5 linked regions of the Canis lupus familiaris genome follow. The protein of the gene in region 5 interacts with the protein of the main gene of each other region in a biochemical or structural test. Links are inferred from orthologs where the notes say so. Each region holds a gene or a part of one and is shown on either strand. Other genes may lie near its edges.

Region 1 (5,621 bases), on a different chromosome or scaffold from region 5:
CGCGCCCTTCCCGGGGAGGGGTGCCTGGAGGGTCCACACACCCACCAGGGTGGGGCCGGGTGCTTCATCACTACCTTTCTCCTTCCTTTTTTTTTTTTTTTTTAAAGATTTTTATTTATTCATGAGAGAGACAGAGAGAGAGAGAGAGAGAGAGGCAGAGGGAGAAGCAGGCTCCATGCAGGGAGCCCGACTTGGGACTCGATCCCGGGTGTCCAGGATCACGCCCTGGGCTGAAGGCGTCGCTTAAACCGCTGAGCCACCTGGGCTGCCCCCTTTCTCCTTCCAAAGCAACGTCTCTCGCAGGAGACAGGCAACAAGTCAGCCCAAAGTCCCACAGTTTAGGCTCCGCGCCAAGCAGGAGGCAGCTGCCCAGAGCTGGTGCTCAGTCCCCAAGATAACAGGAAAGCATTTGCAGGGGCGCCTGAGTCATGGAGAAGTCCCGACTGGCCCAGATACCGGATTATAAGCGCTCAGCTGTTTTGAGATGACATTTTTAAATAATCAGAACATTTTTATTTATTTATTTATTTTTAAATATTTTTTTAAGGATTTTATTTATTTATTCATGAAAGACACAGAGACACAGGCAGAGGGAGAAGCAGGATCCCTGCAGGGAGCCCAATGTGGGACTTGATCCTGGGACCCTGGAGTCACGCCCTGGGCCGAAGGCAGATGCTCAACCCTTGACCCACCCAGGCGTCCCAATTTTGATTTTTTTTAAATGAAATTTCTCCTTTATATAAATTATTCTTTTGCCTCAATGTAGCTACATTGCTTTTCCTTTTCCTTCAGCCTTCACTCCTTTCTCCCACCCTTCGCACTGCCCTGGCTCCAGGGCTATAAGTCAAGAGTCTTCATCTGCAGGGCACGTTTCCCATAAAGAATCAGGTGAAACCTAGAGCTGTCTCGGGAAAAGCACACATATGGACATGGACATGGAATTCTCTATTGGGGTCTGAGGTTAGGAATCCCACTTAAGAGAAATAAAGAATACTCACTCCTTCAGTTTTCCAAATCAGCAGTGAGCTTCTGCCTCCTGTTTTAACCCGGCACGTTCAAGGATCGTTTCTGATCAGGGTCATTTGTTTCTGTCTTTTTCTTGTGGGGTTCTCTAGAGCTGCAAGCTTTTGCTCACCATGGCCGTCCCCTGCCAAGATTCCAGGTAACTCTGTGCTTCGGGGAAGAGTTTCCAGATCCTCAGAGGCAAAGGAAGCTCATCACTGCTCACGTAAGTATTTAGTCCCATTCAAATGATGGAGTTTCCCTATTTTCCATCAGGGGTAGGGTCCCATTTAGAAAATTCTCAAATACAAATATATGTCAAGTGACGGGAACATCCTAAGGGAGGAAGCATGGCCCAGTGAATGGTGCTGGGAGTCCAGGGACCCACAAGTTCTTCCCAGCCCTAGATGTCTACTCATCAAACCTGCACCGTGGGCCTCTTTGTCCCATCATGACAGTGTCCTATTCCCGTTTTATAAGGATTTAAAAGGACTGGTCGTAAAAGTGTCCCCTTAATATTCTCCATATTTAATATTGCCTTTAAAATGCCTTCTAGCTGACCTCCACTCAACGGACAAGCTCTTTCCAGATGGGAAGCTGTCCATTGACTTAAGTATTTTGCTGTTCCCCCAAATGTTTCCCAAATCCCCTTTTATTTCTGGATTTTTAGACATTATTTAACTGGTGGAAACCGAGGGCCATGTGTTATTTGGAGGAAGCTAACTCTGTCAAGGAATTTAAGTAGCTCAGACCACCAGTGTTCTCTAGCAGAGTTTGAAATAGGTTCGACTGCAGCAAGTAAACACCTTTTTCATAAAATAGAAAAGAAAAAATGATTTATAGAGATAGCATTTGGAATAAATTTGCCACAGAAAACAGAGCTTTGAATACCTAAGAGTTTTGAATTTGAGAACTTCACATTGCTACCTACCTTTGAGAGTCATTAATGGGCCCAGACAAAAAGGTAAAAGAGATCATACTCAATAATATAAATATTCAGGTCATATTGTAGTTCTGATAATGTTTTTTTGTTGTTGTTGAAAAACTGAAATAAAACACTAATTGTAAACCCGTAATCCTCCTCCTCTTGATTTGAAAAATCAAAAACCAATCCACCAACCAACCAACAACAACAAAAATATATATATAGTCTTGTAGATTTTAGGGCTTTTTCACGAATTCTCTCCAGTAATTGATACAATAATTAATATCTTGTTAACACCCAGGACTGTTAAATAACTAAATAAACTTGGTATTGACAAATAACATGTCAAAAGTTGGTGAAAAACTCCTGCACCCGCCAGATTTTAAGGGTGTTCTGGGTGCACCAGGCATCCTCTGAATCAGGCAGTGATGGGTTCCTCAAGCAATGGTCCCTGGAATCTAGGTGTCTGGGGTGGAAAAGAAAGATGGATTGGTGTACACCACGAGTTCTACTCCTTTTTATTATGGATTTAATTTATTTCAGGCATGTCATATGAATTATGCTTAAGTTTCTATATATCAAATAACATAAAGGCTCAATTTAATAGTGGAATTGATTAACAAAGTATTCTGTTTTCTTAGATGTTGTAAATTAAGGACATGCTGAAAGCTGAATTTTTTTTTTTTTTTTTTTTTTTTGGTGACTATGAACCACACAAATAGCCAAACTAGATGAATTTGGGTTCAATTAGCCTCTCTTTCCCCATAATAGCAGTGTTGTTGTTTGCATAGATTTTGCCCCTTTCTTCTTCCTTTCCCTTAGAAATCTGTGGATTATCTAGGTGGTCCAGGAATTGTAAATTGCTCAGGGTTTGCACCTGCGTCCCCGTCAAGCTGTGGTCGCGGAGAAATGCATTGGCCTTAATTATCCTGAGTTAGCTCCACCTTCACTGGTCACCTTCAACGGCCTTTTAGTTTGGTCATGTCCCTGATTTGCTTAGGCTTAGCCAAACGTAAATTTTAAGCGGCTGATCATTGAAAAGCACCATCCCTGACGTTAATGCAGTCGAAACTCAGAGCTCAGTAGGGCTCGTCGCCTGGCATGGGAGGGCGCCCGCAGGAACGGCTTCCCACAGTGCCACGGTTGACCGGTGGTGCCAACCTCGGACTCCGCCGTCCCTGAAATACGGAGTCAGTAACGACGAGCCAGTCGCAGGGCGCTCGAAAGCATGTTTCAATAACGTCTTCTTAAAATCTCTTATTAAAGGTCGAACCTCTACTCGCCAGACAGCTGTACTATTTTGCTCAGCAAAACAGTGGACACTTCCTGCGGGGCTACGACCTGCCCGAGCACATCGGCAGCCCCGAGGACTACCACAGGTCTATTCGCCACTCCTCCATTCAAGAATGAGAGGGCCGCCGAGGGGCGTCGTGCCACCGTAGATACCCGACGTTCCCAGGGACAGCTGACCGAACTCCCTCTTTTCCTTTTGAGAAAGCTGGCGATTGGGACTTCAGCCCTTGAGGAGAATCTCGGCAAGAATGAGCGTAAAAACAAACAAACAAACAAACAAACAAACAAACAAAAAAACCCCAAAAAAACCCAAAACCACCCCGGCTCCGTCTAAGCGAGCTTATTCCTAAGGAAACGCGGTTTGCAGGGTCTCCCGTAGACTGCCGCCTTTGAGGATCACTGTGAACGTTGACCAAAGGATGTGTTTACATTGACTTAAATGCTCTCTTTAATTTGATGTGGATTATCTGTTGCTTGAAAACGGAGAAAACTTGTGTTTCAGTGTCGACCACTAACTGGAGGGATAGAAGCACACGAGTGTCGTACTATTACTCAGGGAACTAATGTCTAAATTTGAGGTGACTCTGCCCACAAAAGGAACATGTTAATGCCCATAGAAGATGTCGCTCTTGTAGACAATGCTTGCTGTTAGAGAATCTTTGGCTGGGACTGGACCACGGTGCCTCCAGCCTCAGGCTGGCTCATTAACCCGCTGCGCCCGGGCCCGGGCCTGGCCCCACGGCTTCCCTGCCTTGTCTAACCACACCCCCCTCCGTTTGCTCTCTCTCCTCGGGCGCCCCTGAGAACCAATTGGTATTTTCTGGAAATAGGTTAAAAAAAAGCATTAGGGCTACCCTTGATTAGTGTGTTTAGTAAGGCCTACAGTCTGGCAATGGGTACTTGAGATAGTTTTTGTTTTGTTTTTTGTCTCTCTATTCTCTCTATTCTCTATATTCTATTCTCTATAGAATAGAAATCATGGCTAGAGCTATATTTTTAAAAAAGAAGAAAAGGGTAACAATCCAAGTACTGAAGATATATTTTTGAAACTCGGTGACATTTCCCCCTCTTACCCTGTTTGTTTTGTTTGGCTATCAGTTAGTTATCCATGACAACACTAAAGAGGAGGAGCCGATGCTTTTCAATTTGTTGAACTCTGTTAGGAAAGATGATGACAGGATTTCACTGATTGCGTAACTGCAGACTCAGTGGGCTGTTTTTGCTTATTTTGTATATTATGTGCTTCCTCATGCCAATATGGTTTGACAGGGCTTTTACTGGGCTTTTTCCAAATAAATCTTTTTATAGAATCACCAAGATCTCTACTTGCTTAAGTGAACCTGGTCACTTCCTTGTTGATTGTTTTGGAAAAGCACAGATGTTTAGACTGATGCTGGCAACTGATATTTTTATTATACTACGAAAAACTGCTCTTACTTTCAGGCTCAGCAAAAGACTTAATAGTTCTCAAATATATGCCTCTCTTATTCCAGCCTGTATTTCCAAATCATTCAACAAGCTGTGCCCCTTACATTAGACAGATTATCTATGGCCTTTATCCAATTTGGTAAGCAATGAAACAATTGGAATGACGTTTTTTTAACCTTTAAAAAGGAGGATTTTTAAAAAGAATTTTATTTATTTACTTAGAGAGAACGGGGAGAGGGGGACAGAGGGAGCGGGAGAAGCAGGCTCCCTGCTGAGCAAGGAGCCTGACGTGGGGCTCGATCCCAGGACCCCGGGGTCACGACCTGAGCCGAAGGCAGATGCTCAACTGACTGAGCCACCCGGGCGGCCCAAGGACTTTTTAATGGTAACATGATACATATTAACTACAGGAAATGGAAACAGTATACACAGGCCAAAAAAAAAAAAAAAAAAAAAAAAGGAGCACATCGTCCTCCTTTTCGCCAGCCCAAATTCCTCCCTTGAGATATCTGCAAGAAGAGTTTCACTTATTCTTCCAATACGCTTCACTTCTCTGTAGGTTTACATCAACTCAGAAAAAAAACAAAACGAACCACCTCCTAGGATCATCTTGCAGCCACTTTAATGCAGCTGCTCTTTCAACCTAAGGATGCATTTACCTCACCCTTTCCCGAGGCCTTGTCCTTGCAGAACCCCACCCGTGCAGGCCGTGCAGGCCGAGCGAGGAATTTCACCAGCCGCTAGGAGTGAATGCGTGTGGACAGCGGATTATATTTTGTGAATTGCAGTAATTTATACATCTTATAGATGCAAAGTGTTTTAGGGTATATTATCCTAAGGGGAAATTGAAGGCAAAATTAGGAATTGCTGTGACACAGGCCCCAGTGTATGCGGCCCCTCCTCCCTGGAGAATATTTAACCCACGCCAGCACTTCAGAGAAGTTCCCTGGTGTCAATCCCAGGGGTGCTGTGT
Region 2 (6,166 bases), on a different chromosome or scaffold from region 5:
TTTCAGGAGCAGCTGTGGTGCAAGCTGGTGTATGGTGAACAGCTCCTGTAATGCATATAGTGACACCTACTGCCAGTAATATGGGCTGTGACAGTTCCAGGGCTGACTTCTCTATACTTGGGTGCTCCTTTCTTGATCTAACTGGAACGCTGAGTGGAAATTTGAGCACACGTCTTTGTGTAGTGGGCAGGTAGGTAAGTAACCTGGGCAGGCTGAAGGGGCACATTTCTGAAAAGATATGAGTATAAACACGCACGCAGACTCTTTAAAGAATTTCTGAGTTCTGCAAGCTTGTCCCACATCATAACAAACATATCAAGATACTCCCATGTTATCTAAATACTCTCAAAGAATTTGAGCTTTGAAAAAATAGTTTTCATTTGAAATTATTTAGCGACAGGGAACTCATTTAATTTATGATTGCTATGACTTCCTGGCAATCATGGTATTAGGAAATTCTTACCAAGTGATTTCTAACTTACATGTGGTTTTCAAGTACAATGAAATGTTTATCAGTAAATAAATTACAATTTGAAGTTGGCACGTTACATTTTGGGGACTTTTCTTCAAACATTTATTAATTTCAAGCTTGCAGGGGAACCCTGGGTGTCTCATCGGTTGGGCCCCTGCCTTTGGCCCAGGGCATGATCCTGGAGTACCAGGATCGAGTCCCACATCGGGTTCCCTGCATGGAGCCTGCTTCTCCTTCTGCCTATGTCTCTGCCATGCTCTCTCTCTCTCTCTCTCTGTGTTTCTCATGAATAAATAAATAAAAATCTTAAAAAAAATTTCAAGCTTGCAGTGTACTTCTTGCATTTTGGGACCAATAAAATTTCCTTTTCAGGCTCAAACATTTTCACAGGTTCTTGAAAAGTCTAATGAATTAATGGCTTAGTAAACACTGCTGCTTGTGTATGATTGGCCAAAGAGGCAATAAAAGTCAATGAAGATTCTGACTCTTCTCTATAGAAGGGTGCCTAGACCTGAATGTGGGGAAACGTGTCTTTTTCCCTTGTTGCCAGGGTTTTCTTGGTCATTTCCATCACTCCTGCTGCCCCCACTCCACCATAAATAGGAAATGCCAGTTAACATCCAGGAGCGGCTGGAAACTGGGTGCAGACACACAGAAGACACCCCCCCCCAACACAACACAATTGACATTTTCTGGGGAACAACAGGATTTATGATGGAAATTTCCCTAATTGGACATTCTGGCCCTAATATGCTGGACAATCCTGTTTTTCTCTGGTCTTCAGATACTTTTCTTTAAACATCTGGGCTTTCTTTCTTTCGTTCTTTTCTTTTCTCTACACTCGGGGTCAGTGGGCAGTGACTGGCGCCCTAGGACCAGGTCTGTAAGGAGCCGCGGCAGGTGTACAGTTGGCCACTGTCTGCACACGTGACCAGGGTCTTCCTCTCCTCCGGGTGTGGGGGTGTGTGGGGTGGGGGGATGCCTCCCCTGCAGCTCCAGGAACTCGGGGCGCGCTCACCGAGGAGGGCCTGACCGCTGACCGGGCCTGCTGGGGGTCACGGTGCAGGGACCCCAGGCCGTCTGCAGCCCTGACCTCGGCCCCCACCCGCTCCGTGACTACCACCGCTCTCCACCTCCACCCACCCGGAGCCCTGGGTGTGGGGTCTGCACCCCGACCTCCCTCCGCCGTCGGGCCGGCAGCACCTCGTCTTCCGCCATCGGACTCGCACGCCGCGCCCCGCCCGCGGGCTCCGCCGCAGGAACGCCCCCGCGGCCCCTCGGGAATTTCTGCCGACACCCCCGCCCCGCGCCGCCCCCGGGACCCCCGACGCAGACCCCGGAAGGACACCCGGACCGTCAGCCACCGCCTCTGCGCAAACTGATTTCTCGGAAAGACGAGCGCTTCGAAGAAGGCCGGCCGGGCCGTCCGCCCCCATTGGGGGGCGCTGGCGGGGCGCCCGCGCTGATTGGCCGGCCGCGGCGCGTCTCCCGCGCCCATTGGCCCGCGCGGCCGCCGCTCGGCGCGCCGGGCCCGCCCCCGCCCTAGACCCGCGCGGGCGCCCCAGCCACCGCCGCATCCCCGGAGCGCGGCGGCGGGAGCGTGGGAACCGGGCGGCGGCGCCGAAGGCGGGCGGCGGGCTGGGCGCGCGGCGGCAGGTAGGCGGCGGGCTCCGGCCTCCTGGTCCCGGCTCTCCCTCCCGAGCCCAGGCCCGCAGGCCAGGCGCGGAGCGCGGGCGGCGGGCCCCCCGGCGGCTGATGCTTGCCCCTCCAAAATCCCATTTTTCTTAAAAGTCTGGCTTGCGTGGAAGCCCCAGGATGGCCTTTCTCAGGAGGGGGAGGACCGACCTCTTTACTGCAAGACCTGCCCTCCGGTCCCGCCCAAGTCCTGCTGCCCGGAGGAGCGCTTGGGAAGCGCCCAGTGACCACCGGGGTGGTGAGCTAGCTTGCGCAGCGGGGCGCCCTCCGCACCCATCCGACCCCAGGGGTCCCTGCCCAGAGAGCCCTAGCCCTGCAGGGCTCACAGCTAAAAGGCATTTGGGCGTAAAATGCGCCCCAAGGCAAAGGGGAGACTTTCCCGTTTGAGGTATGTTGCTTACCCCAGGGCTGTGGAGTGCTTGCTGGATGGAGAGACTGGAGGCTGAATGTTCCAGAATTTAAACTGTCCTTTCAACCTGTAGGGGGATGTAACATACTTTTTTTTTTTTTTTTTTTTTTTTTAAACCCGAGTTAGGAGCTGGTCCTGAAATGAAGGTTCTGAGCATGCCCTTTGAGATTATGGGAGGCTTTTCCAAGAAAAGAATTGAGAGTGGTTCAGTCATTTCAGAAAGACTAAGGCCAAAGTGACAAATAACTTTGATGCTTTTGGTTTAGGGGTGGAGGACTTGGGGCTGTGTTGCCACCAGGCAAATACCTCCCGCCCCACCTCGGGGCCCTGAGAGGTGTGGGTGGTGAGTCTTGCACCTCCTAGGCACATCCTGGAATCCGGCTTGGGTGGGGGCAGGGCAGCTTTTTATCACCTCCCGCCTGGGAAGCTGATTCCTGGGACCCATTTATTGGGATGCAGATTAGCTCCAGATAGGACTTGGCCCTTAAAGAGAATGATTATCTAAAAATCAAGGAAGAGGAAGTTATAAACATGTGACCAGGCTTATGAATTTTTTTCTGGCTTGACATTTGACGGGATTAATGGGTTAGCCTTCACTAAATCATTGTGGGTCATGGAGCTAGAATCTTAGGCTTGTATTGCCACTTAGAATCTTAGAGGTGCTTTCCATGAAGATTCAGGTGGGACTGGCCATGTGCTTAGATCTTGTAACGTGACCTTGGCTTTTCTCTGCAGAGCGAGCAAAATAAGAGTCTGCTGGGGTGCCTGGGGGTCAGGGTGCCCTTCTGGGCTTCAGTGTTAACTCCTGTGAGCAGGCCGGCTGGATTAGATGGTTTCTAAAGTATTGTCCAGTTTTCCTATTCTGTGATTCACTCTTCCTATCCATGCCCTCTCTCTGTTCTCATTTCCTGTCCTTATAAATCACCAAGACAGTTGTCCTTAACAATTCTGGGGGTCATGAGTGCCTTAGAAATCTTGATAAGAAGGTGTTGACCCACTTTCTAGAAAAATGCCCATACAAACAAAATCTTGCTTTTTATTTTCAGGAGGCTCCCGGAGCGCGGACTCTGGTTTATAAACCTCGTGCTAAGAGGGTGAATAAAGTCCTAATAAGTGGGCACATTTCATTGAATTGACAGATCCGCAGACACCACCGCTTCTGTTGTGGCCCCTCTCACCCTCCTCCTGCACACAGCTCACTCCTCAAGGGAGGCGAGATTCTCCTGTCTTTCCTCCAGGAAGGCCTGCAGGAATCAGTACTGTGCTAGGTTATCTTCTGGGGCATGTTTCCTTTCTCTCACCAGGTGTTCCTCCTAAATCTTTTTTTTTTTTTTTATGATTTTATTTATTTATTTGAGAGAGAGAGAGGCAGAGATAGTGACAGAGCATGAGTAGGGAGGAGAGGGAGAAGCAGGCTCCCCACTGAGCAGGGAGCCCAACATGAAGATCCACCCGGGACCCTGGGATCACGACTTGAGCCAAAGGCAGACACTCAACTGGCTGAGCCACCCAGGCTCTGCCCTCCTAAATCTGTACTTCATTTATAAGCACAAGGGGCTGTTTTGGAATTCTGGGATGCTTGAGGTGCATTCAGTTTGCAGGTGAGGAGAGCCTCAGAGAGGTTCTGGTGGTTTTCCCAAGGCCTAGCTGGAGAAAAGCCTTTGCTGGGTCTGCATTTTCCAAATCCAAGTCCAATTCCTATTCCACCCCCCGCTTCACCCCATTTACGCCCACCTGTGGGCATGGAAAAGTCACATTTGGCATTTGGGACTCTCCTTCTCCCCAGGACCTGGGCCCCCTTTCCAATCCCACACCTGTAGGGAGGCTGGTTTCCAAGTCCTGTACTTCTTGCTTCATGGACCAGCATGGCTCTGGATGTGACCGTATTCTTGGGGACATTATGTCTTGTCAATACTGATTATTTCACACCTATTTGCCCAAAGAGGTCACACTTTAATCAGAAGAATAGAAATGCCTTTTTTTTTTTTTGGTGGGCGTCTGTCCAACTGTCTAGGGGATTTCCACCCCTGTTCTTGTAAATGTGGGCTGTGATTCGATACGGCATGATTATTCTTTTTCTCTTTGCTGTTGGGAAAGCTGCCTCTTCTGGCAACAGTGTTCTTTTAGAGGATGTCTTTGGGTACCCTGGTGAGGTCCCCAAATCCTGGTGCCTTCTGGAAGAGTCTAGCCCAGCTGACTTTGCTTTGTCCTATGGCCCCCGTTGATCTTCCTTTTTGTTCCAATTGGTTGTAAGGGTTCCTGAGCAAGAAAGTTGGGGCAATAGCATCTGTTAGAATCTTTTCAGGTCCAGGCATGGCCTCAGGTGCTTCATATGCATCCTCTGAACCTTCACCACAAGGATGCCCAGTACTGATAGTTACTCTAGGGCTTCAGTCCCCCTGGCTCGCACTCCCAAGGTTAAATCATGATTCAGGGTCACCCAGCTGGGAGATGGTGGGTCTCAAGGGGACTCCAGCTCTGTCTCATTCACAAACTCTTGCTCTTATCATTAACCCAGCTTTGAGGGAATAATCTAGAAGGGCTATCTTTGAGGATCTCCTTTTTTGGAGCACACAGATGTCGTATTTGCCAATAGACATGGGTCAGACTGGGCATCAAGTGATAGAGTTGGCTCTGAGAGTGATGAGCTGCTTATTAAAGGACCTGGAACTGTAAAAGTGATTATTCCCCACGTCATGCTAAAAATGGAATGGTGCTCTTAGACATGGCTGTGTTTGTCTGGAATGGAGCAAGGGGCGAAGGGTGGAAGCAGAACCAGCCAGAACCTTAGGACAGGTGGGTATATGGTGCAGGGCAGCTGCAGATGCCCCGCAGAGTCTCAGTTTTCAGGACTAAGAGGGCCCAGGGAAGCATGCTCTTCCCACGGCAGGTGGCTCAGGGTCCTGGGGTCTGTGGATTTCCCCCTAGGCTAGCACCTGTGTTGCAGCCCTCTAATCATGCTGTCAGCAATTCTGGACTCCCAAGTACATGGGGTGCTATGATTAATGAGACGATATTTGTAATTTCACAGAACGTGTTTTTTTCTTTCCAAGGATGTGTGACCGGAACGGTGGCCGGCGGCTTCGGCAGTGGTTGATTGAGCAGATTGACAGCAACATGTACCCGGGGCTGATTTGGGAAAATGATGAGAAGAGCATGTTCAGGATCCCTTGGAAACATGCTGGCAAGCAAGATTATAACCAGGAAGTGGATGCATCCATTTTTAAGGTACAGACTGGAACTCCTATCCCACATCACCATCACTTGCTGTCTTCCCTTCGGGCCCACGGAGGCGTTGAGTGACATCTTTCTCCTTTGCTTGAAAAGCCATCTAATTTTGTTAAACAAACATAGATTGAGTGCTGAATGTGTCTCCACACACCTGTTGTGTGACTGAACCCCTTTGAGGTCAGTTGGCGGCTGTCGTTGGCATTTCCCCGGCAGGGGGTATCCAGGGCTCTTCCCCACCTACCCTTTCTTTTGCATGAGGCTGACAGTCAGGGAGAGAGAGGACTTCTGCAAGGCCCTGAGACCAAGACCTTTACCCTCCCCGGGTTACCATCTAAATTCCATTACGAATTCTAGGAAGG
Region 3 (6,342 bases), on a different chromosome or scaffold from region 5:
CTGTCTTTTTCTCTAAAGAATCCAACTGTCTCTCCTGCCTCACACCTCCTTGTCCCAATGTGGGTAGGGATGGGGAAGGTGGAGGAGCTGGGGGGATGGGGGTGGGGCAGGGCGGGAGGAGAGGAGAGCTGAGACTGGGAGTGTCCTCTCAACCACTCTCTGTCCCTAATGAGCACATGGGGGGTGGGGGGAGGTCTGGGTGGGAGGGGAGGTGCAGGCATACCCTAAGAAGCCTGGTCAACAGCTTGTCTGGTCAGTAGTATCTGCAGCAAGCCTTGTTGAAGGAGCCTAGTTTAGAAAAGTGCAAAGCTACTTCTGGCCCTGGTTAGGTCTTCAACCTGACTGTGCTTGTCGGTAAGAAAAACATCCCAATGCTCCAACTACTCCCACCCTGAAGCCACGAAACTCTAAGTTTACTGAAAGAAAAAAAAATATTTTTTATTTCAGTTAATCGGGAAGCTTTGTCAGAGCCCTACCCATAAGGAGAAGAGACAACAGCTGCCTTTATTCTTGTTGGTTTGCTTTGCAATCCGCTCTGTGTAAAGTCAGCTAACTCTCTCGGTCACGGGCGTCCGGCTGTCCACAGGCTCCTCTCTGTTTGGCCTTGGCATGGAGGATGAAACAATGTCTTTGCGCTCTCCCTCCCCTCGGTGTTTGTACTTGTCTGCGGCCGTGGCGGCGGTCGCGACCGTGGGCTGAGTCTTAGCTGGCTCCTTGGGGCAGCCGTCGCTCTCCAGCGAGCCTCCTCTCGCCATCTTCTCCTCTTTGCAGACGCCGCTGCTCAAGTCCTGGGGCTCAGGGGGGCTGGCGGGGTCCTCGGAGCTCTGGGGCTCAGGTGGGGGAGGGGGCGGGGGCGGAAGCAGCGGCGCGGGTGCCTTCGGGGGCTCTGAGTGGTGGTGATGGTGGTGGTGCTCCTTCTTGGGGGGTGAGGAGGCGCTGCTGCTGCGCCCCTTCGGGCTGCTCTCCTTGCTTTTCCGTCCGGGGCTCTTGCAGGTCTTCAGTCCCTTTCCACTCTTCTCGCCGAGGGTGGACACCAGCAGGGGCTTCACCACCTCCTTCACCTCAATGCTGACCGTCTCCCGAGTCTTGCGCTTCTTGATGGGGAGCACAGTCTCCTGCACGGACCGGATGGAAGACTCCTTCACGGCTTTCTTTTTGGCCTCTGCGGCGGCAGCTGCCACCACACTGCCTGGCTTTCGGCCCCGCTTCTTGGGAATGGCCTGGGGGTCAGCCTCGGCTTTTCGCTTCCGGCCTGGGCGTTTGATAACCATGACCTGGGCTGACGTGGTGGCCCCGCCCCCTTCAGCCTTGCTCCCGGGCGAAGCTTGAAAAGGCATCTTGACGAGCAGCTTCCCGGGACTTTTCTCCAGGACCCTTTTCACCTGCACACCCTCTGATGTTGCTGCCTTGGGTCTCGCAGTGCCGCTCCCTTTGGGGCGTCCCCGACCTCTGCCAGTTCCTGGAGCTTTGGGAGATTTGGGCTTCTTAGGTGGTTTCTGCTCTCGCCGGGAGGGGCTCCCTCTCCCAGTTACCGTGAAGTCAAAATCATTAGGGTCCAGGGAGGTGTCGCCTACCTTTTCGAAGTACGCAATCAACTCCACTTTAGAGCGAAAGGCTTTTCCCTGGGGACTGTGGGAACAAATGGAGAGACACAAAGAACGATTAGAAGCTTCCCCGCTAATGTACAAAGATGGGGCAGGAAGAATGTGCTGAATTCTGTGACAGGACGTTCTGCAATTGACCTGCCTGATGATACTATTCAATGAGAGTCACATTAGAGAAAAGCCAAAATGGGCTGAAATTAGAGGGGCATGGTCACACACAAAGCAACTGGGTTGCTGGGCGGCGGAGAGCACCCACAGGGTGTGCTCCAGTGACAAGAACAGCTGGGTGTCAGCTGCTCTGCAGCTATTGCCCCTGAGGATCCGCCTACCACCAAGGCCCCTCCTCTGGCTCCCAAAGGGGCCTGGCCTGGAGACCCGCTTGAGCCAGAAGGCTGAGGGGCAGGCATTCTGCTGGTTGGTGCCTGGGCCCAGTCAGTAAGTAAAGCACTCCTCTCTGTCTGAACCTGGGCATGCTGCTTAGCCTCTCTGGGATCGGTTTCCTCATCTGTCAGTAGGATAATGCTTTTTGTTCACCCTTCTCAGAGTTGTTGCGATCAAATGAGGATGTCTGCAAATAAACTGTTTATCTTTTCTGGATCATCTAAGGGCCAGAACTGAAATGTATTTATTCAGTCCTTCTCTGAAGCTCTGGCTTGGGAATTACACTGTTTCTTTTTTTTTTTTTTTTTTTTTTTTTTTTTTAAATTTTTATTTATTTATGATAGTCACACAGAGAGAGAGAGAGAGGCAGAGACATAGGCAGAGGGAGAAGCAGGCTCCATGCACTGAGAGCCCAACGTGGGATTCGATCCCGGGTCTCCAAGATCGCGCCCTCTGCCAAAGGCAGGCGCCAAACCGCTGCGCCACCCAGGGATCCCTGAATTACACTGTTTCAATAGAAAATGCCCAATGACCAGCTCAAAGCTGGACAAATGCACCAATGACAGTTGGAAAGGCACATGAAGAGACACCAATGTGTCCCCAGAGGCCCTGTCAGAGAGCTCACCTTTCCCAACATGATTCAGAGAGTAGACTGAGCCCTCTGAACTCCTACTTCTTCTGGGTCATGCAGCCAAGTCACGGAATGACTGACAGAAAGAAGAGTTGTTTAACAGGTTCTGAGAAGAGCCCATCAGCTGGATGTTTCCCAGCTGGGAAATGAGAGGAACCCAGAGAGCCCTGCTTGCCTTCCAAGCACAGGCCACTACACATGGCAGGTCCTGTGGCCTCTGGGACCAGCCTGGGCAGGGCCTTGTGTCCTCAATGTTTCTCAGGCGACCTCTCTTTCTTGTGTCCTCACTGTGGCCCTGGGTAGGCCCTACTGCGATGCCATCTCCAGACAAGACCTCAAGGGCTGGTGGGGTAAAGTCACACTCAGGGCGGTGAACTCTGTACACAGTCATTTGAAACATACCTGGAGGGGTCTGCAAGTGGTGTTCATTATTGAAGCCACCCCCAGCCCAAGATGGGTGATATACACACATTTTCCTGATCATCGAGTAAAAAAAGAGCTGCCACTCTAAGGGATCCCCATTAGTTTCTCAGCACCTGGCCCCAGCCTCCTGCCCACCCAGCCTTCCCTGCTTTGTAGAGACAGGAGTTGCCCTTACTTACTTGATCAAATACACATCATACTTCCCAGCGGAGCGGCCAGATTTCCTTTGTTTAAGCTTTCGGGTCCAACCTTCAGGCAGAGTGGGGTCGTCATACATGGGTCCCCGGTCACGAATGATAGAGCGTCGCTGTTTGGGGGAGGCAGAAGCTTCCGGGACAGCTGGGGCTGAGCCTGACCCTTCTGAGGTCTCCGCTTTGCCTGCCTCTGCTGGTTCAGCAGAGTGGTGAGCCGGTGGCTGCAGGGGCTCATGCTTGCCCTCTTTGTCTTCTTTCTTCTCTTTCTTCACCTTTTTAAATTTCAGGGGTTTGTCCTTGAGGCCCTGGAGATCCTGGTCTTCTGACTTTTCTTCCCTGAAGTGTTAAATAAGTATGTAAGTATCACAGGGAACACACCGATTTGTAGAAAAAGTAAGCAATGGCGGGTTTGGGGCACCCCAGCACAGGCAGGGCTCTGAGAGACAGGGCTGCCCCACCGATGCTCACCCAGATCCTGATGCCTTTCTCCTTCAAAGATTTCTTTGGGGGCTTTGGGCTTTACCCTACCTGCACTGTGACCACTCTGAGTCCTTCTGTCCCAAGTCCCACTCCTAACAAGCAGGAGAATGAGCGGCATTTTTCTGGGTAGAAACACTAGGTGGCTTCTCAGTGTACTGCCTCGGAAGAGGCCACTTTACAAGCTGTGCCCAACAGTCTCTAGACTTCATGGCTGACAAGAGGCCCTTGACTACTGGAGAGGGAGCTGCCCACCCAAAATGTGGCCAGGGCTCCTCTTCACGAAAGACCTGGCTTGGGTGTTAGTATAGCTTCTGTATTGTAAGTTTTCTCAAATGTGTGCTTGATAAAACAGTCAGGGAGCACGATGCAACTTACTGATGGTGGCAGAGCCTAGCACTACCCCCTTGGGAGATAAGGCACAGCACAGTGCTGTGGAGAAAACACACAGGTTTGGAGCCAGCCCAACCTGAGCTCAAATTCTGACTTGGCAACTTCTAAACATGGACCTGAGCAAGTGACCTCAACATTCCGTGCCTTAGTTTCCTCATCTTGGTAATAGGCACCAACACCCCAGAGGAAGAAAAGTCACAAAAGCACCATATAAACACTAGCCAACTCGGGCAACCAGAAACTGCTGCCCAGGGTTCTGGAGTGAGGAGAAGGCACCCCAGGTCTGCTAAACTTTTATTATCAGACATTCCTTTACAAGCCATGACTGCCTTACACTCAACCAGTAGAAGGGGAGAGCAAGGACAAAGGCACAGAAGAGCACCCTCCCCACTCCAGGGTGGGCACCTCCTTATGCTTTCACACTGACAGAGCAGCTCCTTCCTGCTATTTTGGCTCCACCTGGTAGGGTCCCTTCCTTGTGTGCACTGGAAAGGCCCTGGACCCTGGAATCAGTCCGCCCGTGGTGTTCTTAAAGCAGGGCTAAGAGGGCAGGAACACCACCCACGCTGGGGAGGCTTGGAACCAGCCATCTGCTGGTCTCTCAGCAATTCAGTCTAGAAGAGAATGAGACTATTCCTGCCCTTGATATCTAAGCCCTAGAGCTGCCCTGTCCCATGTGGCTCGTGTCAGCACTGGTCACTGCCTCATGGCCAGTCTACCCCAAGCAACCCCCTTGTTCACACTGTGGAGACTCCAATGGAGGCACTGTGGTATGTACTGGAAACCAGACTCAAATGATGTCAGTAAGCTGCCAAAGGTGGGTTAGTATCAGGACTCTTGGCACCATGAGAACATGCCTTTTCTGAACAGCTCAGGTCAGGGGTTGGGAGACAGGCTTGTCCCTGAGTTCCTCCCTATCCTGGGTCATCCTTTAGCAGCTCAGGACTCTAAAGCATGGCTGCCATGGTGACCCTGATTTAGCCCACGGCCCACAGGAGATCTTCTCTTGCTGTAAAGTGAGGGTCTCTAATCTGTTGCAGCACAGAGCTTAGTTTTCAATTATCACAGTCTTATTAGCCTTTCAGCAGGAATTGAGGAAGAATCCTGAGAAGCTTGGTGTGGCCTATAGCCTGTAGTCCCCCAACACAGAGGGGAGAAGGGGAGCTTGCCAGCAGCAGAGTGGCAGATGAACTGGAATGACCACTCCCACACAGTCCACGGGCCACCGCTGAAGGCCAGGGCTACTCCCTGGAACCTGGATAGTCCTGGAGTCGGCAGACAACACTGCACCCATGGGAAAGGTTTGGTTTCTCCAGAACACTCATTTATATTCCCCAAATAGTTTAACCATCCATGAGGTCAAGTACAAACCACATATCCCAGGAATGCCTCTTAGATACAATCAAGGGTGTCGATGCCATCAAGGTCAATCCCTTCTAGAACTCTACCCTAAAAAGACACACCCCCAGAAATGCCAAACAGTTAAGTCTATGATATTATTTGTTAACGGCATCATTTTTCCTGACCCAGTACTGCATACAACTCATAGAGCTACCAACAAAGACGTACTGAATGGACGATGCCATGCCTATAGCATGGAGAGCCATGCAGCCTGAGAGGGCTGAGAAGGAGCACCTCTGGATCTCCTACAGATCACAGGATGCCTTTCACGTGAGAAACAAGGGAAGAAGTACTTCCTAGTCCCAGGATGGGTGGGAACGAGCTAAGGTATAGGCGCAAGGCAAGACCTCTCTGAATCATATAAAAGTTTACATAACCAAAATGAGAAAGTAAACAGTACCAAAACCCTACTGTATTGAATGCAAACACAAACAAACTGAACCATGTATCAAACTGATACCACACCAAAGAGAAAATTTATTTCAAATACCTCTGACCACACTGCTCTGCATATCCTTGGTGGGACATATTTTAAGGCCTGATATGGCACCCAGGGTTAGGGAACATGTCCAGCATCCATGGAGGGAACCAGGCTGGCCCTGGGAGAAGTGGGTGGTTGTGGTTCTACGGTGGCCTGTGAGGGCAGAAAGGCAGGGGAGTGCTTGGACAGAGGAGGGGAAAGTCAAAGGACATAGGAGGTGGCTAAAAGGACTCCTTGCACTAGATGACACCATGACAAGGTGAGTATCTGAAAGAACAAACTGACTGGATCACAATGAGGGAGAAAAGAGAGAAAATCCTACAAGAAGCAAGGGGTGAATCATGCAGCTGTGTGCCA
Region 4 (6,130 bases), on a different chromosome or scaffold from region 5:
TTTCTGCTCTTCTTGCTCAGAAGGTCTTGATTTCTGTAGTGGGTGTCCACTCCACCTGTCACTTACAGCACCCTACCCCTTCTCCCCCTTCCTGGGTCTCAGCACCTTCCATTTTTCTTAGCCAGCTAAGGCTCATTCCTTGTGGTTCCTCCTGTCTCTTGGCCTCTCTCTCAGGGACTGCACCCACTACTCTCTGGGAGACAGCTCCGACCCATTCTTGTTGGTCTCTTGGGAACCAAGCTTCATGTTAATCACAGCATCAGATCCTGGTGCACGGGGATTGGATTAACCCATCCATTTCCTCTGTAGGAGGAAGGCAGCTGAGTGACTGACAGGTGGAATGCTGCATCAATGTGTCTATTTATAGTCTGTACCATTGCAACTGGGTGCTGCTGTGGAGGGAGAGCTGGGTGAGGGGAGTGACACAACCAGCGCAGCCTAGAGGAGCAATTTACTTCTGAGTCAGCAGCTTTGGGGAGGTGAAGGAAGGAACATGCCAGGCCAGAGTTCTGGACACTCAGCCCAGCCTTTAGGAGAGTGCAAATGGGGCAAGGTCTACTTTAAGGCACAAGAGTTAAGTGGTTGCCCTTTCCAGGGGACTGGGACCTGGGTTCCTTAATTCTTTGTCCACATCCATGGTCTTGACCGACCCTAAGCAACTTCCCCCATGCTGCCTAGAACCTCTCTGGGCCAAGCGCCGAGGGCCACAGGCAACACCAATGCTGCTGCTAAGGAGCACCCCTGTAAGGGCTCTGTGAGGCTGTGGAGGTGGCCTAAGACAGGAGTGCTAGGGAGCAAGGGTACCCAAGCCCTAGCCAACTCCGTAGCCAGGGCTTCTCCGAAACCCTTCTCCTTCTCCCTAAGGTCAGGTATATGGCAGCCCCAAGGATGTAGACCCAGAAGCGGCACCCAGAGAGGTGCCTCTCTGTCGCTGTTAGGCTCTGGGCAGGGACCTCAAAAGCCACACAGCACCTGCTGTCCTCAAGTGCGGCTCTGTGCTTCACAGACATCGTTTCTGGGTAGCTGTAAACCAGCAAGTTAGGGCTGCTTGTTTTACAGTCGAGGAGACTGAGGTTCCCAGTCCCGTGCCAGGCTGCACCTGCAGCGGCCAAACTGGGATTTCCTCTCTCCCTCCCGCAGCCCCAGTCAGCACCCCAGGCGCAGTAGGCTTTCCTGGACTTCCCCAAGGCAGGTGAGGGTCCTGGGGGCCGGCCGCCCCTCCAGAAGCGAGTAGTAGGAGGGCCCAGACGCTTCCTTCTTGGCACCCCGTTAGCAGGTTTGAGGAGCCAGGCTCGTTTACGGGGTTTCAATCCCGGGCTGTCCGCTCTGAAGAGGACAGCAGGTGCCCGGGTGACCTGCTCACCTGCGCTCGGAAGACAGACGTCCCCCGCGCCCGGCGAGGAGGCTGAGAGCAGGCCCGGAGAACGCGGAGCGAGGGGAGTGGCTGCGGGTGCGGGTGCGGGCCGGGGGCGTCCGGCTTTCCAGGACAGCCTTCCCCGGGCCGCGGGGGTGGGGGCAGGGGCAGGGGCAGGGCAGGGGCAGGGGGAGGGGGAGCGGACGGGGCGGGCCCGCGGTCGCCCCAGGGCGGCGGCGCCGGCCGGAGGGGGTGGGGAGGAGCAGCCGCCCTGTACTTCCCCTTCGCCGCTAGCTCTACAACAGCCTGATTTCCCCGAAATGATGGGGCGGCACCGACCAATAGGCGCCCTCGCGGCTCCTCGGGAGGCGGGGCCGGGCCTGGGTTGGGGGAATCCCGCTAAGTGTTTAGATTTCTCGCCGGCGCCGCTGCCCCGGCAGAGCGCGCCACTCCTTCGTCGAGGCAGGACGTGCGCCGGAGCCCGGCCGGGCCGAGGCCGAGGGAGCCGCGCCAAGCCAAGGCCAGCCGTGCCCCCCGCCCCTCGACCCGCGCAGCCTCTGCCTTCGCGCCGCTCCCTGCGGGATCGCGCTCGCCGCAAGGACACCGCCGCGCCAGCCGACCGGGACCCTCGGGCGCCGCGGGTGGATCGCGGCCGCTGCGGAGGTGAGTCCGCCTTCGCCGCGGGGGGGCGGTCGGTGGCGTCGAACAAAGGCGCGCGGGGCTCCGGGAAGCGGGGCCGACCCCCGGCCGGGAGAGTCGCGGGCGCGCGGCGTCGCGGGGGCCCCCGCGCGGGCTCCGGAGGGCGCTGGCGGAGCGGCGAGCCGCGGCGGGGAGGGCGGGCCGCGCGGCGTGGACCGCCCACGAGCCGAGCCTGCCGAGCCTGCCGGCGCCCGGCCGGGTCGCGGATCTGTGTGCGCGGAGCCCCCGGGCCTCTGCGCCGCTCGGTAGACCTGCCGCGCGCATCCGTTAGCGGTGCGGGAGACTCGGCGCCCCCAGCTCCGCGCCCAGGCCTCAGGTTTCGGGCTGTACGTGCAGGTGTTGGGGCGGGGAGGGGGGGGACTTGCTGCCTGAAAGGCCGGTGGACCTGCTGAGGCTACGCATGCGAAGAGGCGCCACAGGTGTTCCTTCGGCTACTTCGCGGAGGACGGGAGCCAGACCGGGAGGGGTACCTGGTCTGGGAGCAGCATAGAACAGACTGGGGGGTGCAGGGTCCCGGTAGAGTGCAGGGTGGTTGCTTGCCACCAGTGCACGGCTAGCTAGTGGTAGCGGCGGCAACTCAAGTAGGGGGATTTATGGGCATCAACCAAAAGAAGCCTGTCCCTTACCAAAGGATTTGAATTTGGGGAGGAAAGTTCTGGCATTAAAATATCTGTGTATTTTGTCTGTTTCTTCTGCACATAAATCCTGAAACTATCACTTGCACGCCTGTCTCCTCCCCAGAGTGTTTAGAGGATCGTGAGGGAAGGGGCTTAATTGTTTTTGCCCATGATGCTGAAAATATTTGGAGAACAGTTTTGTTCTGGTGAAAGCCTTCTTTCCCATGATTATACTACTTGGTACCTGGTGGAGGGCAGGGGAGAGTTAACTGAATGACCTTGGGCTGCGGTGGGGGGGTGGAGGTGGGGGTTGCAGGCAGGGTAGTGCCTAAGGGGCTGCTCTGCAGACTCCAAACAGGAGCGTCTGTTTTCTCTTCACAGCCAACATGCCCATCACTCGGATGCGCATGAGACCCTGGCTAGAGATGCAGATTAATTCCAACCAAATCCCAGGGCTGATCTGGATTAATAAAGTGAGTGTCACCTTCTGGGTTTTTATGCCACTATTTTAACACATGTTCTTTGAGGGGACCGAAGCTTCAGATGCAGCTCAAAAACGGAAGTGATGAGGAGGAGGCAGATGTGTTTGTTTCCCAGTGGGTCCTGCCTGCAGGCAGTATGCAAGGGCCCAGCCTTGGGCCGCTCTGCCTTCTTCCCTTCCTTGATATGGACAGGGCACTCACCTGAGGGCACTGACAGTTTGCATCAGCAAGACTCTCCCCGCATCTGCAGAGCCAGAGTTCTGGTCTCTTTTACGAGAGACTCCTGCAAACATACAGCATCCTACAGGGTTCCAAACAGCCAGGAGGCAGAGAAATGAGCACCTAGTGGTGAGAAGATGGCTGGAGGAGCAAGGGACCTGAGAATTAACCTTGCACTGCTGGCCCAGGCTCAAGAAACCTCATGCTGGTGCACAAACCCTGCAGACATAGTAGTAATAACAATATTCATAATAATGCTTACTGTCCACTCCCTATGAGCAAGTGTGATTACTGTGCTACGTCTGTTACTTACGTTGTGTCATTTAATCCTCACAGTAGCCCTGTGAAGTAGATCCTGTTAATAGCTCCATTTTCAGATAAGGAAAACTGAGGCACTGAGAAGTAGATAATGAGATGACACAAAAAGTGATCAAGTCAAGATTTGAACCTGAGCAATCAAACTCAGAAATCCAAAGTGTTAACCACCAGTAATGATAACAGTGAGACTTAGTCTTTATATTTGTCACTGTGATTTCTCATTTCACAGAAGAGAAACCAATGAGGGACCAGGAGGTATAGGGACAGTGCCAGTGTCACACAGGTAGTCAGCATCCAAGACTGGCCCAGGGCTCCCTCCCTGTGTAGGAGCCAGTGGTCCCAATTGTCCTAAGCATCCCCATTTAATGGATGGAGTTTTCACTTCTGCGTTGGTGCTGAAAAGCCAGAGAGCATCCCAAGGTGCTCCTTATGGGTCCCAGCACACCTGTAACAGGCAGAGGGAGAGCTTTGGTGAGCTGATACTGCCATAGCTCTTCAGAACCCAGAGCCCCTTCTGAGAGATCTAGAATGATAGAGTAGTCTGTTTAAGCCATTCTCAGGATGGGTCAACTCAAGCCAGATGTCAGGGTGAAAAGGGGAAGTCAGCTTTTTCTCAGACTGGGGGGGGGGGGGGGGGGCGCGGCGGGGCTGGGCAGGCTCCTGCTAAAACCCTGTGGCTTCTGAGCTGACACAGCCTTGTATATATGTGTGTGTGTGCCATTCAGGAGGAGATGATTTTCCAGATTCCATGGAAGCATGCTGCCAAGCATGGCTGGGACATCAACAAGGATGCCTGTCTGTTCCGGAGCTGGGCTATTCACACAGGTGTGTGCCCTGGTCTCCAGCCCTGGAGGGCCAAGGAGAAGACTAGAGGAATCACTTCTATTAACACAGAGGCTCTTCATCGGGTTCCTTGAGATTGTGTACAAAATTTGGGGGTGAGCAGGGGGCAGATTTGTATTTCTGGGGAAAAGTTCCATCATTTCAGCAAGTTCTTAAAGGAACCTGTGAAATCAGCGTCTTCAGCAAGTTCTTAAAGGAACCTGTGAAATCAGCGTCTTAGAAAGTGTGATTTCAGGGAGTTTGTAGCTGGATTAAAGCTCCTTGGGGCAAAAGCAGTTGTGAGCCTGGATACTGAAAGACCCAAGTCTTTGATTTTCTTGATGTTTACCAAGGTCCTGGCCCAAGGCCCATCTGGTTGGCAGCCTCTTTTTATCCTTGAGGTCTGGAGCTCTTGGTCCATCTCAGATCAGACAGCACACCTATCAGTAACTGTTCTTTGATGCCTCCTCTTTGTCCACTGCTGTGTTTGGAAACATCAGATAAACCCTAGTCTTTATTTAATCTCTGGCTGCTAACAGCCCAAGCAGGGAGACTGGTTCTGGTCCAGCACCAGTACAGCCCGTGAAGACATACAGGCCCTCTAGTGCTTCTGGCTGGGCCCTTCAGAAAGGTCTGCTGGATGTGTCTGAGTCAAGCATGGGCATTTGAGAAGCCCCAGGGCTTGTAGAGGGTCACCCAGGAATACCGTCTGTTTGGCTAGTGTGGATCTCTGGCAGCATGAGAGCTTAGGGGTACTCTTGCCTTCCTCCTCCCAGGCCAGACAGCAGCTAAGGATTCCCACCTCTGGTCCTTATAGTCCTCTTCACTCTTCTGCCGACTAGGTCGATACAAAGCCGGGGAAAAGGAGCCAGATCCTAAGACATGGAAGGCCAACTTTCGCTGTGCCATGAACTCCCTGCCAGATATTGAGGAAGTGAAGGACCAGAGCAGGAACAAAGGCAGCTCAGCTGTGCGGGTGTACCGGATGCTCCCACCCCTCACCAAGAACCAGAGAAAAGGTATCCAAGGGCTCTGGATCCTTGGGAAGCTCAAAGGGAGGGAAGAAGAAGGGCAGCGGGGGCTGGTGTACCTGTACCAAGACTGATGGCCCATCTGCTTTGTAGAGAGAAAGTCCAAGTCCAGCCGAGATGCTAAGAGCAAGGCCAAGAGGAAGGTGAGTGTGGCCCTGAGCTACTAGTCTTTGGTCCCCCGGGAGTCAGGGTGGGCAGTGGGAGAAGTGCCACGGCAAGCCTGGGCCTAAGCTCCTTTCTCTTGTTGCAGTCATGTGGTGACTCCAGTCCTGACACCTTCTCTGATGGACTCAGCACCTCCACCCTGCCCGATGACCACAGCAGCTACACAGCTCACGGCTACATGGGGCAGGATTTGGAGGTTGAGCGGGACCTTACTCCAGGTGAGGTAGGCCAGGTCTGGCAGGAGGCCACACAAGGTCACAATGGGATGGCTCCTTCTTTTGGGTCCAGGAGGCAGCGTGCTTGAGGAGGGGGTGGCAGGTTGGAGCAGGCCGCGGGGTCAGGGATGCTGCATGTCTTGCAAACTCAGAAAGCAGCCAGTTCTGACCTGTGGTTTCTGCTGTCCCTCAGCATTGTCACCGTGTG
Region 5 (6,198 bases):
CCTTGTTCTTTTCCATCTTCTTGCCTTTGCTCAGGCTGGTTCCTCAGCTGGATGTTCCCTTTTCCTGGCATGTTTTCCTACCTATGGACCTGACCGAATTAATTGTTCCCCAGTGCACTTAGCACCTCTCCCTTGTTCCCTCACCTCCTCAAAGACCATGCTATCTGTTTACATGTGTGTTTCCCTTGCAGGTCTGGGAACTCCCAGGGGCCCAGGACTGCCATATTCACATTTGTGCCCCCTTACCAGGCCCCGCACATAAAAAGTTAGTGATTTAAAAAATGAATTAATAGATAAATATGCATATAAACAAACCAAACCAAACCAAGATGGGAATGAATGAATGAATGAATGAATGAATGAAGACATCATGCAGGACCTGTACTTATGGAGTAAACCCACCCCACACACATGCAGTCAGCTAGGACATGGCCTTCTTGATGGGGAAGTGAGGAACAGGGATGAAACTGATGCCCAGTCAGCAGCCTCTCCCTTACTCTTGGGGAGGGGCCTTGGTCAGGTTCGTAGGGAGTCCTGAGGACTTGTGACCTTGACCCCTTGGAGAGTCCCAAGTACAGATTCAAAAAATCAGTGAAGATGGAAGTGAAATAGATCTAATAGTGAACCCAGACCTTGTGAATCCCTAGTCTCTGCTGCCAGTGAGGAAAGAAACTCTTGGGGGCCTGAGATTCCACTGACAAGAAGGAGGCAGGCTAGTCTTAGTGGGAAGAAGGTAGAAAATAAAGAGTTGGACTACACATGGGAAGAAACTGAATGCTCAAAAAATTCTTCTCCAGTGCAGTGGACTCACTGGGGATCAATGGATCAAAACTGTCTCTGTTCATCCTTCTGTCTTCCAGACTAGATCAGGAGGTCTCTGAAGGTAGGGATCTTGTCTGAAACTTCTATTTTCCCATCACTCGGCATAGAGCCTGGAGGTCAGTTAATATTGGCAGGATGCATAGGCAGATAGATGAATGGATGGATTGATGGATGGATGGATGCATGGATGGATGGGTGGATGGATGGTTGGGTCAATGGATAGGTGGTTGGATAAATGGATGAATGGATAGATGTGTGAATGCATGAATAAGTGGACAGATGGGTGGATGGATGAATAGGTAGATGAACAGATTGAGAGCTGCATATACAGTGGATAAACAGATGAAAATATAAGTGGATTAATAACAGATGGATGGGCTAATATATGAGCATTTCAATGGCTAGATGGACAAGTAAATAAACAGGTAAGTGGATGTATGGGATGGACCAGCAGATAAATGGATGGACAAATGCACAGCTAAATGAACTAATAAACGAATGTATGGTTGGCTTGATGGGTGAAAAGATGGATGGATCTTGGGTAGGAAAATGAATGGATGGGCCAACAAGAAAGGTTTTTAAACTAGGAAGACTAAATTGATATTCAGGTATTGGTAGGGGTGGGGAAACTGAGAAATCTGGGTTGGGAATAAAGCCCCTAGAGATTTGGAAGAAGTGGGGGTACTCAGAAAACTGGGAGGGAAGGTTGTAAGAACCCAGGAGCCTCCTCTGGTGGAAGGGAAGCTGGTATGAAGGAGCTCAGGGAGGGGGAAAGTAGCACTGTGCTGAGGACCCTGTCCTGGAGCCCAGCCCCAAGGCAGATAGAATATAAGAGCTGGAGACCCAGATTCCAGAAGAGCCAGGCCTGACACGCTGGTAGATCACACCACTCAGGCTGACCCCCAAAAGTGAAGGCCCCAAGAAGCCACCCCTACCAGTTTTGGCCCCAAGCAAGAGACTGTTGGCCACATGGGAATCTCAAAAGCAGTGGGTATTAGTGGGGTTAGGAGTTAGGGGGCCTCAGCAGGGCCTGGGGGGCAGCACTGGCCTCCCTGCGGTCGAGCTAGCCTTCCTCCCTCCTCCTCTTTCTCCTCACCCCAGCCTCCAAGACCGCCCCTCACAGCTCCAGCTTCCTCTGGGCAGGGGGTCTGGCCCCCATGGTCTCTCAGGCCAGGCCCTGAAGCACCACCTGCCCCAGCCCAGCCTGAGACTTCCTGTAGCGCAAGAGATTTATGCAAACGGGCTGGGGCGGTGATGTCACCCCAAGGGGACTATCTCCCAGTGGCAGGCCCTTCGATAAAATCAGGAACTTGCGCTGGCCCTGCAATGTCAAGGGAGGGGGCTCACCCAGGGCTCCTGTAGCTCAGGGGGCAGGCCCGAGCCCTGCGCCCGCCCCGAGTTCGTCCAGCCCCCCGACGGGGCGCCCCATCCTGAGGGGCTCCGCACTGGCCCCCACCGAGGCGGGGGACCTGACCGGCTCGGAGCTCGGCTGGATGTTACAGGCGTGCAAAATGGAAGGGTTTCCCCTCGTCCCCCCTGTGAGTACCGGGGCTCCTCTGCGATCCTGACCCGCGGCCCGCAGCCGCCCGTCCGCCTGCCCAGCAGCCCAGCAGCCCAGCAGCCGGCCGGCTGCCCCCCGGCTCCCTATCTGTGGGAAGCTGGTGTTTCCTCCCTGGAGCTCCTGGCCCGAGACCCGGCAGGGGCCGTTGGCTTCTTCAGAGCAGGCCCTGGCGGCCGAGGGTGGGCCCACGGTGGGGCTGTGATCGGTGGGGCCTGAACGGTTATTTATAGATGGGGCTTGGGTGGCGGGTTGGTGGAGCTCCTGGGCAGGGTGCCGGGCTGGGGATGGTGAGGGCGGTGGCAGAGAGATGGCGGAGGAGGAGATGGGGAGCCTGGTGCGAGGGGAAGCCGGTCCCCAGAACAGTAGAGGCGTGAGGGCAGGAGGCCATAGGCCAGAGGTCTCTGGCCCGAGGCCTGGATGCTCCTGGAGACTGAGGCTGGTTTGTGTCTGGGTCTCCAGTGCCCGCTCTGGGGCCTGGCCCAGGGGACATGGCTGTTGACCCGGGGTCTGGGCCTCGGGCCGGCAGGTCCCCAGGGGCTGGGCGGCAGCGGGGAGTGGAGCGGAGACTGGGACGGCTGTTGGGTTGGGGCACTGGCCAGGGAGCAGGGAGACCAGGCAGGTGCTGGAGCGGGCCGTCTGGGGTAGGACCCAGCAGAGCGGAGGCTGCAGTGAGGGCAGGGGCTGAGGGTGGGACAGGGCTGGGACTGGAGGTGAGGCGGCAGGAGTCCCAGGGGACCCCTGGAGGGGAAGGGCAGCAGGCGGGGGCCGGTCCCCACTGCTCGTGCCCTCCATGACAGTTGCAGCCTTGGGCAGGTGCAGACCTGGGCCCCACAGGGGGGACCCCTCTCTCTTTCCCACCCTGTGCCCGCTCAGCAGGGCCCAGGGCCGGGGAGCCCTGGGGGAGCCGGGAAGGGCTTGGCAGGGCCTGCCCACCTGACTCAGCTTTCCCGGACCAGAGGCAGCTCCCTGCCCCCGCCTCACCCCAGCCAGGCCTCAGAGCCCCGGGAGGCACCCCAGCCCTGACATCCTGCTGTTGGGCTGCGCTGTCTGGAAACCAGGGGCTGGGTTCCCGGCCTTCTTACTGGCCAGACACAGACAGCCAGCTGTAGCTGGCACCCAGCCCCAACCCCACTCCCCCATCCACCACCAAGAAGGTAGTGGAGGGCAGGCAGGGGGGAGACAGAGAGGGTCCCAGGAAGAGCCAGGTCTGCCTCAGGAAAACCACAGGTCCAGAAGCTTGACCACACTGTCTCTGACCCTTGACCTCTCAATCCCCCAATCTCCCCAAACACACCTGAGCAGGAGGCACATCTCCTTGGGTGGCTACACCAAACCCCTTAGGGGCTACTCTGCGTACTCCTGGGAAGGTGGGCTCCCAAGACATCTCAGCCTCCCACCCAAGCCCCAAGGGCTGGAGTAATTGTTGTGCAATCCCTGGGCACACACTGTGGGGGTGGAAGGAGGCCTGATGACTCTTGTGAAGAATGGGTGTGTGTGTCCCTGTGCCTGCACTAGTACAAGGAGGAGTGGGGGGGGGGGGAGGAAGAGGAGGGGGAGAGAAGAGGACAGGGAAGAGTGAGGGAGTGGAGGGGGGGAAAGGGAGAGGAGGACAGGGAGGAGTGAGGGAGTGAGGAGGGGGAGAGGGAAAGAGAAGAGCAGGGAGGAGTGAGGGGGAGGACGGTAAAGGGGAGAGCAGGGAGGAGAAAGGAGGTAGAGGAGGAGGAGGGGGAGGAGGGGGAGAGAGGAGGGGGAATGGGGAGAGGGGAGAAGGGGGATGGGGAGGAGTGGGGAGGAAGAATGAGGAGTGAGGGCAGGAGGGAGGAGAGGAGGAGAAGGGGTATCCCAGTGGGTGCGTCAGAGGGAGGAGGGAGGAGGGAGAGGGAGGGGGCCAGGGCTCTGGCTGGTCAGGCCCGCGTGGTGAACACTGAGGAGCCATGAGTGTGAGTGGCCACGGGTACCTAGGCCCGAGCACAGGCCGTGGGGACTGTGGCGGGAGGAGCAGCATGTACGCAATGACGATGGGTGTGCGGGCGGGATGTGAGTGACCACGATGGGCATGAGCTGGAGCCTGCTGTAAGGTGCCGGAAGGCAAGTGTGAGGATACCTGTGTAAACTCAAGTGGCTGCGTGTGCCTATGGTGTGAGTGTGCGATGGTGAGTGTGAATGCGAGGGGCCTGTAGAGCATGTGAAGGTAGACCATTGGGTGCTAGTTCATGTGTGGGGGTGTGGGTGTCACGGGGAGCGTCTGTGGTTTGGAGGTGTAGGTGTGTCAGCGTGATCATGAGAGAGTGCTTGTGCAAGGTGGGGCCCTGTGGGGGCCAGTGTGCATGTGTGGTTTGAGGAGCAGCTGTGCAGGGGGGAGGGGGAGGCCTGGGGGCCTCCTCTCAGCCCAGGTCCTCTTTTGACCTCTGACCTTTGGAGTCCGGTCAGCCCCTTTCTGCAGCAGCAAGACTCCAGTCCTCCTAGGTCCCCTGTCCCCACCGCGGTCTCCCCAGGTTCCAGGCGGGAAGGGGGCCTGGTGCTGTGCCCAGGGGCAGGGTGGGGGAGGTGGTGGTGGTGGCCGCGGCGCACCAGGGCTGCCACCCGTCCCAGCTGTCCCGCTGCCATCCGAGCCCTGACAGCCTGGTCTCTCAGCAGCCATCGGAAGACCTGGTTCCCTATGACACAGACCTGTACCAGCGCCAAACGCACGAATACTACCCCTATCTCAGCAGTGATGGAGAGAGCCACAGCGGTGAGTACGCGGCCCTCGGCGCCCCACACCCCCGCCCGCACTGATTGAGCATCTTCGTTGTGCCAGGGCCCGAGGTTAGCTCCGTCCACATTTATCTTCTCGTCCAGTCCTTGTGGCTTTTCACAAACGAGGAAGCGGAGGCTCAGGGAGCTAAGCGACTTGTATAAGGTCACGCTGCTGGTCGGTGGCACTCCGTCTGTCTGCTCCAGGTCCGACTTTTTCCTCTCCTGCTCCCCCAAGCCCCCAATTCTTCCTCTCTGGTGCCGTCACCCCCTTACTGTACGGTTCACGCTAGTGTAGCCCCTGCTCCCTGCTGTGTTCTCAACCTCCATGGACATGTGGGGCTGGAGCATTTCTTTGTTGGGGGGCCTGCCCTGTACAGTGTAGGATATCTGGCAGTGTCCCTGGCTTCTACCCATTAGACGCCAGAAGTACCGCCAGTCTCCACAACCAGAAAGGTCTCCACACATTGCCAAACGTGTCCTGGGGGACAGAATCAGCCCTAAGAACTGCTCACTAAGGGAAAGGCTCAGAGGGCCTCCTCATCTAGCTGAGGTGGGAGCGAGGATGGAGTATGAGCCAGGGGTTCCTTCCGTGAGTCTCACTGCTCATCCCAAGGCCCAGCCTCCACCCTGGAGCAAATTCAGGATAGACAGGGACAAGCATTGGGTGCCTGGAACCTGGGCAGGGCACCCTGACAGGCCACCCAAAGTGGATCTTGCTATAGTGACAGGACGCCCCTGAGCCCAAGTGAGAAGGCCTAGTAATAGGCCTTCCTTGGAGGGTTCTCCTGGAGTGCTGAAATCTGGGCACGCCACACACTGGGGTGTCTGCAGCCCCAGAGAGAGAGGCAGGCTGGAAGCAGAAGGTTTCTCACGGCGAGGCCACACCTGGGGCCCGGCCACACCTGTAGCTCCATTCTTCAGGCACATGGACAGCCTGCCACAGAGGGCACAGCTGCACTGGGAACAAACACCTGGCAGCTACGACAGAGACCTGGAAGCCTTGTCTAGGGAGTGGGTGGTGACTGAGCCTTAAGTCTGCATGTGGGGACACACAGACATCTTTCAGGATCCCAGGG

Evidence for each region.
Region 1: the proteins of SPI1 (region 5) and IRF4 are reported together in a solved structure, tested with the Homo sapiens proteins (2 studies listed by BioGRID, with this or other methods). The link is inferred for Canis lupus familiaris from reciprocal best matches to the Homo sapiens genes SPI1 and IRF4.
Region 2: the proteins of SPI1 (region 5) and IRF8 form a complex in vitro, tested with the Homo sapiens proteins (3 studies listed by BioGRID). The link is inferred for Canis lupus familiaris from reciprocal best matches to the Homo sapiens genes SPI1 and IRF8.
Region 3: the proteins of SPI1 (region 5) and MECP2 form a complex in vitro, tested with the Homo sapiens proteins (2 studies listed by BioGRID). The link is inferred for Canis lupus familiaris from reciprocal best matches to the Homo sapiens genes SPI1 and MECP2.
Region 4: the proteins of SPI1 (region 5) and IRF1 form a complex in vitro, tested with the Homo sapiens proteins (2 studies listed by BioGRID). The link is inferred for Canis lupus familiaris from reciprocal best matches to the Homo sapiens genes SPI1 and IRF1.

The regions. Positions count from the first base shown.
Region 1 is NC_049256.1:2,066,280-2,071,900, forward strand, and holds the end of IRF4 (interferon regulatory factor 4), read left to right. Parts: intron 1-1,115; coding exon 1,116-1,228; intron 1,229-3,193; coding exon 3,194-3,337; 3' UTR 3,338-4,533; downstream 4,534-5,621. UniProt on the Homo sapiens protein: Transcriptional activator. Binds to the interferon-stimulated response element (ISRE) of the MHC class I promoter. Binds the immunoglobulin lambda light chain enhancer, together with PU.1.
Region 2 is NC_049226.1:67,305,963-67,312,128, reverse strand, and holds the start of IRF8 (interferon regulatory factor 8), read left to right. Parts: upstream 1-2,072; 5' UTR 2,073-2,128; intron 2,129-5,629; 5' UTR 5,630-5,630; coding exon 5,631-5,804; intron 5,805-6,166. UniProt on the Homo sapiens protein: Transcription factor that specifically binds to the upstream regulatory region of type I interferon (IFN) and IFN-inducible MHC class I genes (the interferon consensus sequence (ICS)). Can both act as a transcriptional activator or repressor.
Region 3 is NC_049260.1:123,059,993-123,066,334, forward strand, and holds MECP2 (methyl-CpG-binding protein 2), read right to left. Parts: upstream 3,570-6,342; 5' UTR 3,317-3,569; coding exon 3,219-3,316; intron 1,630-3,218; coding exon 546-1,629; 3' UTR 413-545; downstream 1-412. UniProt on the Homo sapiens protein: Chromosomal protein that binds to methylated DNA. It can bind specifically to a single methyl-CpG pair. It is not influenced by sequences flanking the methyl-CpGs.
Region 4 is NC_049232.1:20,771,205-20,777,334, reverse strand, and holds the start of IRF1 (interferon regulatory factor 1), read left to right. Parts: upstream 1-1,860; 5' UTR 1,861-2,017; intron 2,018-3,051; 5' UTR 3,052-3,056; coding exon 3,057-3,143; intron 3,144-4,414; coding exon 4,415-4,514; intron 4,515-5,353; coding exon 5,354-5,530; intron 5,531-5,635; coding exon 5,636-5,685; intron 5,686-5,792; coding exon 5,793-5,925; intron 5,926-6,115; coding exon 6,116-6,130. UniProt on the Homo sapiens protein: Transcriptional regulator which displays a remarkable functional diversity in the regulation of cellular responses.
Region 5 is NC_049239.1:42,677,634-42,683,831, forward strand, and holds the start of SPI1 (transcription factor PU.1), read left to right. Parts: upstream 1-2,091; 5' UTR 2,092-2,315; coding exon 2,316-2,360; intron 2,361-5,017; coding exon 5,018-5,117; intron 5,118-6,198. UniProt on the Homo sapiens protein: Pioneer transcription factor, which controls hematopoietic cell fate by decompacting stem cell heterochromatin and allowing other transcription factors to enter otherwise inaccessible genomic sites.